Coturnix japonica: one gene and its partners. The protein of the gene in region 4 purifies or fractionates together with the protein of the main gene of each other region. This does not show direct contact. Links are inferred from orthologs where the notes say so. Each region holds a gene or a part of one and is shown on either strand. Other genes may lie near its edges. The genes, in order: ATMIN, DYRK2, SOX2 and UBR5.

Evidence for each region.
Region 1: the proteins of UBR5 (region 4) and ATMIN purify together in Homo sapiens (affinity purification with western blotting; 3 studies listed by BioGRID). This does not show direct contact. The link is inferred for Coturnix japonica from reciprocal best matches to the Homo sapiens genes UBR5 and ATMIN.
Region 2: the proteins of UBR5 (region 4) and DYRK2 purify together in Homo sapiens (affinity purification with western blotting; 3 studies listed by BioGRID and IntAct, with this or other methods). This does not show direct contact. The link is inferred for Coturnix japonica from reciprocal best matches to the Homo sapiens genes UBR5 and DYRK2.
Region 3: the proteins of UBR5 (region 4) and SOX2 purify together in Homo sapiens (affinity purification with western blotting; 3 studies listed by BioGRID and IntAct, with this or other methods). This does not show direct contact. The link is inferred for Coturnix japonica from reciprocal best matches to the Homo sapiens genes UBR5 and SOX2.

Annotation. Positions count from the first base shown.
Region 1 is NC_029526.1:13,622,721-13,626,281, forward strand, and holds part of ATMIN (ATM interactor), read left to right. Parts: coding exon 1-953; 3' UTR 954-3,561. UniProt on the Homo sapiens protein: Transcription factor. Plays a crucial role in cell survival and RAD51 foci formation in response to methylating DNA damage. Involved in regulating the activity of ATM in the absence of DNA damage. May play a role in stabilizing ATM.
Region 2 is NC_029516.1:31,679,887-31,684,016, reverse strand, and holds the start of DYRK2 (dual specificity tyrosine-phosphorylation-regulated kinase 2), read right to left. Parts: upstream 2,844-4,130; 5' UTR 2,726-2,843; coding exon 2,671-2,725; intron 2,470-2,670; coding exon 2,333-2,469; intron 2,235-2,332; exon of another isoform or gene 1,829-2,234; intron 1-1,828. UniProt on the Homo sapiens protein: Serine/threonine-protein kinase involved in the regulation of the mitotic cell cycle, cell proliferation, apoptosis, organization of the cytoskeleton and neurite outgrowth. Functions in part via its role in ubiquitin-dependent proteasomal protein degradation.
Region 3 is NC_029524.1:14,829,374-14,833,448, reverse strand, and holds SOX2 (transcription factor SOX-2), read left to right. Parts: upstream 1-1,269; 5' UTR 1,270-1,977; coding exon 1,978-3,192; 3' UTR 3,193-3,833; downstream 3,834-4,075. UniProt on the Homo sapiens protein: Transcription factor that forms a trimeric complex with OCT4 on DNA and controls the expression of a number of genes involved in embryonic development such as YES1, FGF4, UTF1 and ZFP206. Binds to the proximal enhancer region of NANOG.
Region 4 is NC_029517.1:117,629,365-117,633,665, forward strand, and holds the start of UBR5 (E3 ubiquitin-protein ligase UBR5), read left to right. Parts: upstream 1-1,448; 5' UTR 1,449-1,463; coding exon 1,464-1,585; intron 1,586-4,301. UniProt on the Homo sapiens protein: E3 ubiquitin-protein ligase involved in different protein quality control pathways in the cytoplasm and nucleus. Mainly acts as a ubiquitin chain elongator that extends pre-ubiquitinated substrates.

The DNA of each region.
Region 1 (3,561 bases), on a different chromosome or scaffold from region 4:
ACATCTTTGAAAATGTTCATTCGTCATTTAATGTTGCTACTCAAATTGAACTTCCAGAAAATAACTTAATGACTACAAACATAGATCAAACCTTGCTGCAAAGGAGTAATTGCAAGAGCCTCAATCAAGACACAGTGAAGTCTGAATCTCTTATTGGCTTCAGTACCCAGGCTAATATACTTCCACCTCAAAATACAATGGATAATCAAACCCAGACAATGGACTTGCTAAGTGATCTGGAAAATATCTTTTCAGGAAACATGTCTGGCCAGACACTGGATAATCGTGGCCTTTTGTCTGAGACTAGTTCTAATGCTGACACGCATCTGCCATCTGGTTCATCACAGAGCACTGGAATAGACTTTGACATTGAAGAGTTCTTTTCAGCATCCAATATCCAAACTCAGACTGAAGAGAGTGAGCTTGGTACCCTGCCCTCTGAGCCAGTTTTGGAGTCACTGGACATCGAAACTCAAACTGATTTCTTATTTTCAGATAGTGCCACTCAATCATATAGCTGCAGAGGAAATTCTAACTTCTTAGGCTTGGAGATGTTTGATACGCAGACGCAGACAGACTTGAATTTCTTTTTGGACAGCAATACCCATCTGCCTTTAGGGAGTATTCTGAAGCAGTCTAGTTTCTCCATGAGCACTGACTCATCAGATACAGAAACCCAGACAGAAGTATATCCTGCCACTAAAAACGTACCTAATCAGAACATAGAAAGCAAAGTCCAGCTCAGTAGTGCTGAAACACAGACTATGGATAGCTGCTTTGAGAATCTTGGGAATTTATTCCTTACCAGCAACGAGACGCAGACAGCAATGGATGACTTTCTTCTAGCTGACTTAGCCTGGAATACAATGGAGTCCCAGTTCAGTTCAGTAGAAACACAGACCTGTGAAGAGCTGTGCTCCTTGTTTCAGAGCTCTGACAAGCCCAGTCATTGAGTGCTGTGCAACAGAACTGTTTCCTGTGGTTTGAAATTAAGTTATTGGGGTGGGAGAGATGCATCGACCAAGTAACCCATTTCACATTGTTGAATGTAGTTATTGTGTGCGGTTGGCCTAAAAGACTTTTCATGCTGAAGGTACTTCACTGAAAATGTAACTTCAATATAAGTTATATGTGCATAAGGGGGGGGTTGGGAGGGGGACAAAACATGTTAATGTACATTTGAACCTTAAAAAAACAGTTTGTGGTGCCTATGTTTTTTGCTCAATCTTCTTTACAAACTGCTTCATTTAAACCGAAGAACCTTTTGAAAGTGTCCCATGTATATCTCCATGTATATCTATTTCTGGCTTATGTATAGGGTTCCACTGTGCTAGACCAAAACCTGCCCTGTCCAATTCAGATGCTTCCCTGAATTCTCTTAGTGTAAGCTACTTCTGTTGATGTTTTTTAGGAGCTTAGTGTCTGGTATGAACATAATAAGCCGTATTGTTTTTTCCTTTATGCCTTCACAGCTCTTTCTCCTGTTTAAGTTGCAGTGTTCTGAACACCCGTCCAACAGCCATAGATACATGTAGACTTGAATTATGGAATACCAATGATCTGCAAAATATGTAGAAAGCAGTAGCTGTTCTTCCCAGATGCTACTAATGCCCATTGAAGGGTAGAAAAAGAGCTTAGAATGCATAATCACTTGGAAAATTGTTATGATGTCCTTTTAGCTCGTGTCATAAATGGGACTAAAGTAATTTAAACTCTTTGAAGGGATTTGCTTGAATTATTTCTTACTGTAAGACACAAATGTTACGATGTTTGTGCCTCAAAAACTGGAATAGTTTGTTTTCTCTGAAATCCCCCTAGTTTCCACAAAGATGTAAGTTGGGAAATGTCACAATGGTTTATATTTCCACTACCTTAACAAAAACCATCAAAGTTGAGAAACTGAATTCTTTACCTATACTTGGATTTCAGCTTCCAGAACTGATGCAAACTCAACTGCATACAACAAGGCCGGAAGATGTGCTCACAAAAACCCTTTCAGAAAAGATGTATTTTGCTTTTGCACATTGATCTGCAGCAGGTGCTTCCTGCAGCTTTTGGAAAGTTTTCTGAGTTGTAATCAAAAACTGGGACTGATCTGTCAAAGACAAACATGTGACCTCTTGGATTTCTGTATGTTTATTTTACCCTTCGTATTGTGCTTGTAGCAGATGTATTGACATGGAAGAATACAAAGCCGGTTGTGAATGTATGCTGGAATTTGGCCTTAACTGATTCTTATCTTGTTGTAGTGCCTGCAGAAATGTAGGCCTCTGGTTTTGTCCTGGACAGGTTTTAGTTTCTATTACGTTAACTGAAAAATGAAACATCTTTATGTCATATTCCCGGGCTTTACTCCTCTGCTGTTGGATGTACTGGTTATGTGTTTACTAGGCGTCCCACCAGTAACAGATGTCTCAGCTGTAGTTTTCAAAGACTTGCTATGCTTTGTGCACAGCTTCATATCCTCAGCTCGAGGATATGGGAGTGCAGTTACTCACCCAACACAACTAGCTTGTTGTCTTGAAAATGAGCAATACCTTTTGATTTTATTATCTCATCTCACCCCTCTTTAAATTGCCATACTTAATTCAACACAGTATCTGATAGGTATCAGAATCCTACGCTGGTGCCCTGTGTCTTTCAGTTTGGATATATTAAATGTTTTTCTGCAAACGCAAAGGCTGCAATCAGGCTGTTTATAGTTGCTGGATCCCACAGGAAAGCTACTGAAACCTGGTCCGAAATATCATGAGTCAATATTACTTATTCTTAAAAGTGAAACAATTTACTTTAAATGGGTAATTGACTATTTTGAGCATTGTTTTCAAAATAAACTTCTCTGAGAGCTATTTCTTGGTAGTACTAAAATGATACTTATCTCCCTTTTTCTGCAGTTTGTCTCTGATTTGATTTTCAAGGCACTGACTCTGTTGTAAGTATTGGTCAGTAGTGACTTACTGTTTTGTTAATTCTCTCCTCTGTGTCCTCCGCTGCCATTTGAGCCGCTATATGAGAAGTAACATCAGGTTGTCCACAACCTCATAGCACAAACTTTTATCTGGAAGTGATACTAATATTACTTGTGCTTTCTCTTTGCTTTTCCTGCTTCATTAAGTTACGCTGCCATTGCTAGCTCTTGATCTGGAAGTCTGTAAATATTATTCTAAAACTCAATTAGTAGTTTAATTAGTCTGATTAGTGGTAGACTTGTGCATTTCCTTCGTATTGTCAAAATACAGAATACAAATATTATCCCCCATTGGATGTTATTGTGCATGGGTGGGCAAAGCTGAGTAGTGTACTTGAAACTTTTGGCTTCTGAGAGAACACTGTTAGAAAAGTGAACTGTGTTCCATTTTCAAGGTATGTGAAAATTTTAACAAGGGAAACAAGTAAATGTAGGACACACGTTCTGTGAGAAGCACAAAACAGCCCTCAAAAAAAAGAGAAAAAAAAAATAGAGTTCTGTCTTACATCATGTCTTGTTGCCTTCTATGTGTGTTTGTATGACAATAGATGGAGTTTCTTCTATATTTGGAGTTAGGTTTGTGTCTGTTTCTA
Region 2 (4,130 bases), on a different chromosome or scaffold from region 4:
GCAGGATTCAATAGTTTTCCTAGAGGCTGGATTATACAGCTGCTGCAAGAAATATGACAAGTAGTGCATTTCTCCAGCTGGACTAGAAGAAGAACTTTTTGGCTTAATATTTCCACCATGGTGTCCCTTCACAATCAGTGTATACACAATGCACATGTGTATACGCTGCCTATGTAAGCTACGCCTTCTGAAAGTCTGCAACACCAAAGAGAAATATTCATTTCATTTTTTAGCTGCTGGAGAAGTCACACAGGCACAACAGGGTTGATTAAGCAAATGAATACAGAGGAAGAAAATGGTTTAAGAAAACTGAAACGTTTATTTTTAAATACATTTCATTTGAGGAAGTAGTGGATGAAACCAATAGTTTCAGTCAGTGTCAGCTGAGGTCAGCAGGCCTGAAGTTTATAGAACGCTCCCATACCACACATAACCATTGTTTTAGGTTAAAATCCAGCATCCTGATGTCACATCTGATCCTTACCACAAAAAGTTCTGTTAGGCAACCACAAAATAATGCCCTAAAAAATTCAGAGCCTGTCGGAGGTATTTCTGTAATAGCACTCAAGGTAAAATAAAGACCGAGGAGTAGTATCTGTGTCACAAAGGCACAGCAGAGTCTGCAGCAGTCAGAACCCAGAGAGACTTGAAACACAGCAGTATAATGCTTGATCATCCTTCAATGCTTCCATAGGCTTTCTGTCTATATGTACGTATCTATCTATCGGCATATATATGCTATAGATAACATGTGTACATGCATGACGATACATCTACAAATATACTGGAAGCAGAAATGCAATACTCAAATACTCCTTGCAAGCTTTCATAAAGACTTCATCTTTATACACATATATATATAGTGTATGTAGATAGATATATCGTACACACACAAGCGTATCTATAAAAATACCACAGTTCCATGCTACCAAAATTAGTCAGCAATCCCAGACAGACGACTGGACCACTGGGCTTTCACAGATTCTAAATTAAGTCTGGGCTCTGTTACACATCAGCCCCTGCTATTAGTGGGGCCCATCTCTGGATGTGTATTTTCACAACCCATGCCCAGGCCATCGGTACAATGATTATTTTCTGGCTTAAAAGAAATACGTAGACCACTTTCTCACTTCTCAAATCAACCAGCACTTAACTGGAATGCAAACGTGCAAAAACCTACCTTTGGCAGTACCCAACGATTCAGATATACATCCTGGCTACATAGAGACACAGCGATGTTGACCTCAAGTATGCAGCTCCACCTCACATTTGCAGAATATTCATCATTCCTCTTGAAAACACCCTACATAAACTTGCACTTATTTATTTATTTATTACATTTAAGCCAATTCTTTCTATAACTGGATTTGAATAAGACGCTTTTACCCCTGAAGCTATACAGAAAGTCACCGAAACGCTAATGTCTAAATGCATAGTTTCACCTTCCACTAGCCCATAATCACATTACTGTTTAAAGCTCTGCCATATGTTTATGAAGATAGTACGTGAGCATCCGTGGAGAACTCATTAATTCTAAGCCAAGTATGCCATCAATGCCTTTCAGGGTCAGTACGAGTTTTTTCATCATTTAAAAGGAAATGTATGCAAGAAATATGTCAGATATTTTGCGTTAACACGACGGCACACAGCCCCATCTCCCTCTACCCCGTCATGCCTTCAGGACAGAGATACCCTCTCTCATCCATATATAGTGGCATACTTGGGAAGTTCCATTCCTGGTAGATTAACTGGGAGAGGGAGATAATGTGAGATATCACAGAACCGGAAAATAACATCCTTTTCATAGCATCGGTGCTTATTTCTTTAGGTAAACCACCGCAGCAATAAAGTCAGATCCATCCAATCGTCGCCCTGGAGTACAACGACAGCTGTTTCCAAGGGAAGACGGCTATCGGCCTGAGCTAATCAGAGACATAGGAGAGCAGCCTTCATTCCTCGCCATGGCTCACGCGACCCTTTAATCACAGCGACTAACCTCACTGCCAAAATGTCATCCCCAAAAAGGCGTTTACCCGTTTACCAGAACAGCTCCTCGCTGTCTGTGCACAAGATCTAATTTGTTACCGACAACGACACGTAAAGCGGAGCGAAGGGGGGCTGCAGGAAGGGGGAGCCGCTCTGCAGCTCGGTTCCAGCCTGCCAGCCCTGGAACCCACACTCTCCTCCGCTCCGAGTTTGCAGAACCGGCCCCGAGCGCCCCGCGGGGCGGGACAGGCGGCGGCGCTCCGTGGACCCCCCCACCACCATCACCACCACCACCACCATCACCACCACCACCACCCTCCCGACCCCCTCCCATGCCCGTGCTCACCGTGTGGGAGGCGTTGCTGGCCCTGAGCGGCGGCAATGCGAGGGGCGACGGTGGGCCGGTCCCAGCTCCTGCCCGGGAGACCCCGGCTCCTGCACCCGGGGAAGACTGCAGCGGACGGCCGCTGTCCCCTGCCCTGCCTGCGGAGAGCAGAGGGGTGAGCGCGGAGGGCAGCGGCGGCCCCGAGCCGCCCCGTCCCGCTTCGGGCAGAAGCCATCGGAAGCCGATGGCCGCCGCGGCCCCGCGCTCGCACCGACGGCCGGAACCCCCCCCTTCCCCCCGGTTCTCCCCCCTGGTCCGCAGCATTGTTCCGACCCCGCGGCGCCCGGCCCGCTCCTTACCGGCCGGGTAGGCAGCGCCGGCGGCGGCGCTCGCTGAGGGTTTCTTGGTTAACATGGCCGCTGGAGAGGAGGGAGAGGAAAATGCATGTCAGGGCGGCTCTCCTCCGCTTCTCCTCGGCCTCTCTGGGCGGCGGCTGCCTCTCCTCGCCGATCAGCTACACCCAGCGCCCGACGCGTCCTCCGCCGCATCCCCCCGGCCCCGGGCCGGCCGGACACAGCCTCCTTCGGCCCGCCGTCTCCTCCCGCCGCAGCCGCAGCAGCAGCAGCCGCGCCGCCGCCGCAGCCCCCGGCCCAAGCTCATCACCTCCCCCGCCCCCGCCCCGGTCGCCCCGGTCCCCTCGCTCGGAGGAGGGAGGGGGGCAGCAGAAGGCGGCCGGACAGGGCCCTCCTCCTCGGGCGGCGGAACGAGAACAAACAGCGCACCGAAGGGCAGTGCCCGCCCCGCCGGCCGCCTCCCCTCGCTCCGCTCCTCCCCGCGTCCCCGTGCGCTCCCCGCGCCCGCCCGCACTTCGCCTCGCTCCGCTCCCCGCTGCCGCCCGGCAACCGCCCAACGGCCTCCAGCGGGGGTGAAGGGGGAAGGGATGAGCCGTTGGTCACCCCCAGGTCACAGCCATGTTGGGGCCTGCCCTCAGGGGGTCACCGCCACCGCGGGAGGACGACGGTGGCACCGCTGGCTGTGGGAGGGTCGGTGCGAGGGGATGGAAACTTCAACATGGCGGTGCCTTGGGAGAGCTTCGAGAGTCGGGCCGGAGCGGCCCGTGCCTCCATGCAGAGGGAGGGAGCGCGGTGGGGGCAGTTATGGGCCCTGCTCTGCCGTGTGCCTCGCCGAGTACAATGCTTTGAATTCCTGGTTTGTCAGCTTGAACGTCACGAGAGCCAAAAATAGATAGCTGAACATTTGCTCAGCCCGGGACGGCGTCGAAATGAACTCTCCTGCCTACGCTCAACCCGCTTGGAAATGTGTACGGATCGCGTGTATTTTCCCTTCTGAAGCAGCCAGTGGGGTTGCAAGCAGAGCTCCCTTCATCCCCTGCCACAGGCAGACCTCCCTTCATTCCCTGCCGCAGAGAAAGGCAGACAAATAAATCTTCCCTTTCCTGAGAAAAAAAGAACTCCATCCCTGCAGCTGGAGAGGAAGACTTGGCCTTTTCCAGTGCCACAGATAAATGTGTAAACAAAGACATTTCCTGTGCTGGTACAAAGAAATAAACACTTTCCTCAGTCCCTCCTGTTGCAGAGAGAAAACAATCCTACCTTTTCCAGCCTGCACCCACCCAACCTTTTCCCTTCCCTGCAGCTTTGTGCCCCTCTATAACCCCCAGATGTACCCAGACACCGCACATTTCCCATCCCTTCACTACCAGGGCTATAAATGCTGTTTTCTGGTGTCTCTTGGTGTTTTCCCATTGTTTCCACAAACACATCCACATTGAAACTAAAGAACTTGCACCATCAGTGTT
Region 3 (4,075 bases), on a different chromosome or scaffold from region 4:
ATACCGCCCCATAACGCAGTTGTTGGGCAATTCCCATCCTTTATGGGTGCGATAAACGCAGTGAGGAAGGGGCCCGGCCCCGCGCGGAGCCGCGCTCCGGTATCCGTTTGTTACACCACCACCGCCCGCTCCTGCCCGCTTTTCAAACTTCATTATCCCCAAAGCTGTAATATTATCGTTATGATTTGGAACGTTGTTATCAACCGCAGCCCCGTGCACGACCAATAAAAGCTGTCGGCGCGGGGGCAGTCGGGCCGCGCAAAAATCGCGCATCACCCGGTGCGCGCATCCCGCAACGCGCGCCCATTTTCCGACGCTTTCAACCCGTCTCTTCTCTCCAGGTTATATATATATATATATAAATACACCTTCGAATTACACGCGTTAAAGCCGATCACATTTATTTGCATAATCCAGAGATGCACCCTCTCCCGCCGCACTTTTTCTACGCGTTACCAGGACGGGGGAGGGCGGGGGGGGGGCACGGCCGCTCCCTTCCCCCCACTCCATCTCCCGCTGCTCCGCACGGTGCCGGCAGGGGGAGCCGCAGTGCCGCGGCTGAGCCCTCGCGGGGCGCCCGGGCGCTGCCCCGGCCCCAACCCGGCCCTGCTTGGGGCCGCGCTTCTCGGGGGGCCCTTCTCGGGGGGCCTCGGCGCTGCCGGGGAGCGCGGCCGCGGGCAGAACAGCGCCGTCGGGGCGCGGCAGTGCGCGTAGAGTGGGGCTGGTTAGAGCCCCCCCCCCCCCTTCCGCCCCCCTTTCTCTCCCCTCCTTCCTTTGTCGTCAAGTGCGTTTTAGCAACAAAGATCCCAACAAGAGAGTGGAAGTAAACTTAGCCGGGGCTTTGTGCAGCCCCGTGTAGCGACAACAAGAGAAACAAAACTACCTATTTGTCCTACGGGCCGCCCCCCCGCCCGGCGCGCCCACCCAGCATCGCACACGGGACGCGTCCCGGGGCTGCAGGCCGCGCACCGCGTTGTGCCGGGAGGGCCGTCGGGGGTTCTCCGCTCCTGCTTCCAGCGGGCACCCCACGATGGAAGGAGGGAGAGAGAAGGGCACGGCCGGCCCCGTTCTGCTCGGGGCCCGCTCGGCTCCTGTCGGCGGGGCAGCCCCGGGGCGGGGGCTCCGCTCCCCACGGACGGGGCGAGCGCTGCACACGCAGCCGGACGGCTCAGGGGACACCGCAACGGGGCGGGGGGTGGAGGGGAAACCATTCCTCCATTCCTGCTCCCCTTATGGCTTCTTCCAACATCGACTTAAAAAAAAAGAAAAAAAAAAGCAACGTAGCAACAATGCTGTTTACCCACTTCCTCCAAAAGGCGTGTGTGACCTGTTGCTGGAAGGGGAGATACAAAGGCTTCCCAGTGGCTGCCTGGGCCGGCCCTGGGCCCGCCCCCCCCCGCCGCGCCGTCCCGGCGGCTGAGAGCCCCCGCCCCGTTTCATGCAAAACCAGGGGTAGAGACTTGTCCTCAGTGGCGGAGCCGCCGAGCGCTGATTGGCCGGGGCGAACGCATTTATTCCCTGACAAGCCCCCATCACATGGATGGTTGTCTATTAACTTGTTCAAAAAAGTATCAGGAGTTGTCAAGGCAGAGAGAGAGAGTGTGTGTGTTTGCAAAAGGGGGTAAAGTAGTTTGCTGGCTCTTTAAGACCGAGGTGGAGAGAGAGAGAGAGAGGGAGAGAGAGAGGGCGGCAGGCAGAGAAAAGGGAAAAAGGAGGAAGAAGTTTTTTAAATCCGAGGCTCCGGCGGTAATAATAGCAGTTATTAGCATTATTAATCCATCAGCGAAGAGGAAGATTCTGATCTCGATCCAAGTGTGGTTTTGGGGAGTCCCCCTCCCCCCCTTCATACCCCTCCCTAGGAAAAAAAAAAAAAAAAAAAAAAGAGAGAGAGAAAAAAAAAGAAGTCCGGCTCGGGACTTGGGCGCCGCTCCGCTCCGCTTCTCCGCTCCGGGCTGGTTCCAGGCAAAAGTAGTTTGAATGTACAACATGATGGAAACCGAGCTGAAACCTCCCGCCCCCCAGCAAACTTCGGGGGGAGGCACAGGCAACTCCAACTCGGCCGCGAACAACCAGAAGAACAGCCCGGACCGCGTCAAGCGCCCCATGAACGCCTTCATGGTGTGGTCGAGGGGGCAGCGGCGGAAGATGGCCCAGGAGAACCCCAAGATGCACAACTCGGAGATCAGCAAACGGCTCGGGGCCGAGTGGAAGCTGCTGTCCGAGGCGGAGAAGCGGCCCTTCATCGACGAGGCCAAGCGGCTGCGGGCCCTGCACATGAAGGAGCACCCGGATTATAAATACCGGCCCCGGCGGAAAACCAAGACCCTGATGAAGAAGGATAAGTACACGTTGCCAGGGGGCTTACTGGCGCCGGGCACCAATACCATGACGACCGGGGTAGGGGTTGGGGCCACCTTGGGAGCTGGGGTGAACCAGAGGATGGACAGTTACGCGCACATGAACGGCTGGACCAACGGAGGCTATGGGATGATGCAAGAGCAGCTCGGCTACCCGCAGCACCCGGGCTTGAACGCGCACAACGCGGCGCAGATGCAGCCCATGCACCGCTACGACGTGAGCGCCCTGCAGTACAACTCCATGACCAGCTCGCAGACGTACATGAACGGATCGCCTACCTACAGCATGTCGTACTCCCAGCAAGGGACCCCGGGCATGGCCCTGGGCTCCATGGGCTCGGTGGTCAAGACGGAATCCAGCTCCAGTCCCCCCGTAGTCACCTCCTCGTCTCATTCGAGGGCTCCTTGCCAAGCCGGGGACCTTCGGGACATGATCAGCATGTATCTACCAGGTGCTGAAGTACCAGAACCAGCTGCCCCAAGCAGACTTCATATGTCCCAACACTACCAGAGTGCACCTGTTCCTGGCACAGCCATTAATGGCACACTCCCTTCTACTCAAATGTATGTAAGACAAAGGGGCCGGGGGGGCGGGGTGGGGGTGGGGGGGGAAGGAGAACTAAACAAAACAAACAAACAACAACAACAACAAAAAACTTTTATTAGAAATTCTGGACTTTTTGTTTTGTTTTGTTTTGTTTTTGTTGGTTTTTGTTTTTTGGTGGTTTTTTTTTGGACTATTTTTGTACAGAGAAAACTCTGGGGGGGAAGGGGAGGGGGTGGGGGGGGGGCAGGGAGGGGGTCAGAAATAAAGCCGACAAAGGAACTTGTATAGAGCTCGGAGGGGAAGCGACTACACAAAACTTTTTTAAAGTTCTAGTGAGAACGGTAGGAACTTTGCAGGAAAAGTTTGCAAAAGTCTTCACCGGTAATATTTAGAGCTTAGACTCCAAGAGCGGAGAGGAGAACGTTTGAATATTTGCAGGCAACTTTTGTACAGTATTTATCAAACTCCACATGGCAATCAGAATGTCCATCGCTCATAGGGAGAGGGGAGAAATCAAAGCCGAGAATTCGCGAGTGATTTTTTGACCACACAGACTCTCCGTGGAGCACCGTGGCCGTGGCAGCTCTGCTGACGGCAGCTGCGGGAGGAGAGGGAATTATTTTGCAGCATTTGGACGTTGAAAATTGGTTTGGAAATTGTACAAAAGGCAAAAGCGGTAGGAGGAAGACTGGCGAGCCGTGGGCTTGGTTTGCTGGGAGAGGGCAAACGTTTCGATGTACGACGTTTTGCTTTTATTTTCTTTTTTACTTCTGGTTAAAAAGCAAGAAAAAAAAACAAAACAAAAGGCCATGAAGGTTCACACGCCGTTTGTTAATTTATAATAACTTTTTTGTTTCCAGACTTCATCCCGTTCAAAGAGAAGGAAAAAAACAAACAAACAATCCCCCCCCCCCCAACCCCAACCTGAACTTACTGTGTTTGAAATATTTTCTTATGGTTTGTAATATTTCTGTACATTTATTGTGATGATATTTTAAGTTCCTTTTTTTTTTTTTTTTTTTTTTTTTTTTTTCCTCTCAACATATATTAGTAATTGAACAAAATTATTTAGGCTAACCATACCTCTTCAGGACATAAGAACACTGGCAGAGTAACATGAAGCCTTCTTTCATAACTTTTTTTTTTTTTTTTTTTTTTTTTTTTTCCTCCT
Region 4 (4,301 bases):
AAGTAATTGAAATCTCACCCTTATATCCAGCCCTTCATAGAACTCCATTGAACAAGTCGTGTTATTTGGAAATGTCAGTGCTTCGGAAACTAGGTTTTAATCCTGGGAGCAAACATAAATTAACTGTATCTTCCCAAGTTCTACTAAATATAGTAGAAACATCCCCAAGGATGCAGGGACCACAGTCTGGTGCGGGTTGGAAGGGACCTTAGAGATCATCGAGTCCAACCCCCGGGATTCGAGCCTCTGTGTAGCAGAGCGGCACTTCTACCACTTGCGCCACAGGGGGATTCGAACCCAGGGCCTCAGGTGTTGCAACGCGGCATTGCTACCACTGCGCCACCGGGGCACACAACTTACACGTATCCTTCCAGCACCACAGACACCCGAGAGCGGACGTACGGGGAAATAGAGCAGGAGACCCCGGACCCGGCCGTGGATTCACCCGCGTCCTGCGCACCAGGCGGCTGCGGAGGGATGGGGGAGGGATGGGGGACGCAGGGGGAGGGGCGGAGCGGGGCTCCCTGAGGCGCGGGCCGGGCCTTTCATCGCCCCCCCTCACGTGATCTACTACGTCCCTCGCGCATGACGTCACCGCGCACGGCGCGAGGCTCGCACCTATCGGCGGCGGTTTTAGTGGAACGGCCCCGCCCGGCAGCGCGCCCGCCAATCGGCGCGAGCCTTGCAGCGTGGCGACGCGGCGCGGCCCCGCCCCGCCCGGCTCGGCGCACGGAGGGAGGGAGAAGGGCCCGCTGGAAGTTAAGATGGCGGCGCGTGTGTGAGCGCGGTGTGGGACCAGCCTCTTTCCGGCGGCGCCGTAGCTCGGCCGGCCCCTCCTTCGAGTCCTGCGCGTCTCCCAGCGAGCCCAGCGCTCCGCCGACGGCCTCGAGCGACCCCGGGGGAGGGCAGGAGGCCGAGCGCCCCCCTCCCCCCCGCCCCCATTGTGTGCCCGGCCCCCGCCCGCCCGCCTCCCTCCCTCCCGCCGCCGGGGGGGGCGGCGGCGGCGGCGCCGACCATGACCTCGATCCACTTCGTGGTGCACCCGCTGCCGGGCACCGAGGATCAGCTCAATGACCGGTGAGGGGCAGGCCCCGCGCGGCGGGGGGCGGAGGGGAGGGGCCGCCGGCGCGGCTCGGCCCCCGGCGGGGCGGGGGAGGGACCGGGGAGCTCCGGGCGGCGCCGAGGGATCCCCCGTCCCTACGTGCTGCCGCCCCGCTGCCGTCCCGTGGGGGCTCGGAACCCCCGTGTCTGCGCAGCCTGGGCCCCAAAGTTTGCCCCCCCCTGCTCCCCAGAGGAGCTCCGGGCTACTGGGGGGGCGGGGGAGCGCCATGCGGGGTGGGCAGAGGGGTGTATGGGGATCGCTGTGCTGTGCTCCGCTGTGCTCTGCTGTGCTCCGCTGCTCCTCGCTGCCTGCCGGGCCGTGCGCCTGCTGAGCTGATAAAGGCACGGCCCGTCTCCTCCTGATGGCCGCTGCGACGATCGGCCCGGAGACCTCGTGGGCAACTTTATCTGTCGCTGCGGATGGGGGGAAAGCGGAGCGCTCGGGAGAAAATACATCTTGGAAGCGAGTTCTTCTGCCTGATTGGTGCGGGTTTGACAGCGTTCTGTGTTGCAGCCCGGTGTTTTCCTGCAGTAATCGCGATCAGCCTGCATGGTAGTTTGTAAATGCCACTGCTGCCCTTATCTCGGCATTCTTAAGAACGTGTAGGTCTTAATCTTTGTTTCTCAGGGATATATGTGCGAATAACTTAGGATTTTTAATCGTCTCTGTATAGAGACTGACTTTTTTATTTTTTTTTTACACTGCTGAAAAACGTTACTTGTTTTTTATAGTATCTTCCTGATATTTATAATTTCTGGAAGTGTTGGCTCTTAGTAACGTTCCTCTGGTTTCTCATCTCACCAGGCTGCAGGGTAGGTCGGGGTCCAGCTAACTTTGCTGCTGTTGGCACTTTGCATTAGGAGAAGCGAGGAATCTCTGCTGAGACATCTCTGTTAATGCACAGCTGAGGTCCCAGAGCTCATGGCAAGGAAAATAGGTCAGCATAGAGATAAAACTTCTGCCAAACTGCATCATCCCTGCCCTTTCAGAGGGAGAGGAAACTTGTGTTGATAAAATGGGACCTGGACTTGCAACGTGTTGATGTGATGTGTCTATTCCTTAACCTGCTGATGCGTTTTGCAGGACCTGACCCTAAGGAGGCCTGCCCACTTGTAAGGGGGTTTCTTGGCTGCCTGCTGGATCACACAGAGTCACAGAATGACCCGGGTTGGAAGGGACCGCAAGGATCATGTAGTTCCAACCCCCCTGCCTGGCAGGGCCACCAAACATACACCTTTACTAGATCAGGTTGCCCAGGGCCCCGTCCAACCTGGTCTTGAATACCTCCAAGGATGGGGCATCCACAACCTCCCTGGGCAGCCTGTTCCAGGGCCTAACCACTCTCCTAGTGAAGAATGTGGATGCCACACAGCTCTGGCATGTGGCCCTCTCCCTTAGAGTGACAGACAGGTGATGCTGTGCTAGGAGTTCTCTTTCCTCCTTGGGCTGTTTTGACTTAGGGCGGTGATTGAGGACTTTAAACCTGAAAGAACCCCAGTGGTTTTCCCATATCTTTTATTTTTTAATGTCGATAGACCCTTCAGAAAATATTTAGCATGTAATTATGATGCCTTGGTTGGAGTGAGAGAGCTTGTCATTTTTTTCTTTAATGTCATGTATTGTATTGACTTACCATTTAAAATGGTGGCCCTGAATTCTTCATAATGCTTCCCAGGTTATTTATTGTTTCTACTCTGTACTGCTGCAGCAGCACTTATGACTTCTGCTTGAGTACAGGAAGCTTCATCAGGTGTGGTAATTAATAGATGGCAAAGGCAGCAGAAGTGCCCTGAAGTGTCTTGTTCTGAAAAAAAATCAGGTAGCTCTTGATCTGAGCTGCAAGGCAAACATTTCCATTTTGTAAGTGGGATTTGACAACAAGTGCGGTGGCTGTGCATCAGAACTTGTAGTGTGGTGAAGCTGCAGTGATTAACAGATAGGGTGCTGGAAATACCAGGTCAGTGTTATTGGTAGCTGTTCTGTCCTTATAGGTAACGATCAAGAGGGCTTAGTGAGTTTTCATATTTATGCAGGTAGCATTTAGGATCTTGGAACTTATTTCTGTATGGTGGGATGCCATACAGAACAGGACACAGGGAAATGGTTTTAAGTTGAAAGAGGGAAGATTTAGGTTGGATGTTAGGGGGAAGTTCTTCACTAGGAGAGTGGTTAGGCCCTGGAACAGGCTGCCCAGGGAGATTGTGGATGCCCCGTCCTTGGAGGTGTTCAAGACCAGGTTGGACGGGGCCCTGGGCAACCTGATGTAGTAAATGTGTATGTTTGGTGGCCCTGCCAGGCAGGGGTTTGGAACTACATGATCCTTGAGGTCCCTTCCAACCCGGGTCATTCTGTGATTCTGTGTGATTCTGTGTTCCTTTCATGGATGCAGTAATCACGTTTCAAACCTGTGATCTTGATGTGTTCAGGATACCTGATGGCTTTCGGTATTTTATAAGAACGTATTTGATAACACTATGCTTAATCATGTGTAGATATGGCAAGTGGGTGAATTGAATTTGGAAGGCATGGTTCTGTTGAAGTATTGTTCTGCTCTTGGGCTGTCTGCACAACATGAGGTGGCAGTTCTCTTCAGCTTGGGTTGGTGCAGTTTGTGTCATTTCTGTCCTGCAGCTTTTACTCATTTTCTGTGTAATTATTTGTGCCTCTTGCTCGTACAGCAACTTGGAGAACGGGGAAACGCTTTGCAGCAAAAAAAGTAACGTTAGAACTCTACAATTTGGCTGATGGCACAAGTGTAATGGGACAGTGCTCCTTAATGAGCATTGTTGGGAATGGTTCGCATTGCGCCTTGATGGCACTCATTAGACCTCTCTCTGCTTCCAACATTTGCTCGTTTGTGGTGCTCATTCAGATGTCCAGAAACAAACTAGCTGCACTGGAGGAGGCCCATAGAGTACACTGTTAGCTTTGCTTCTGGAGCTGTTAGGATTCATTCATTTGAAATAAGTGACAGGCTGCACTTGGGTTTTGGATGAGGTAGTTAAGCCTTTTATGGTGGGTTTATTGGGGAAGATGGGCAACCTCAGGTTTCATCCCCTTCCTCCCCCCCATTCCTCCCTCCCCCCGCACCCCGTTAGCAATGTGTTCTATTTGAACTGAATATGAAAGTTTTAAGGTGAGAAAAATCAGGATGACCCGCAGATTAAGAACCAACTCCATAAAGCGTTTGGGACATAAA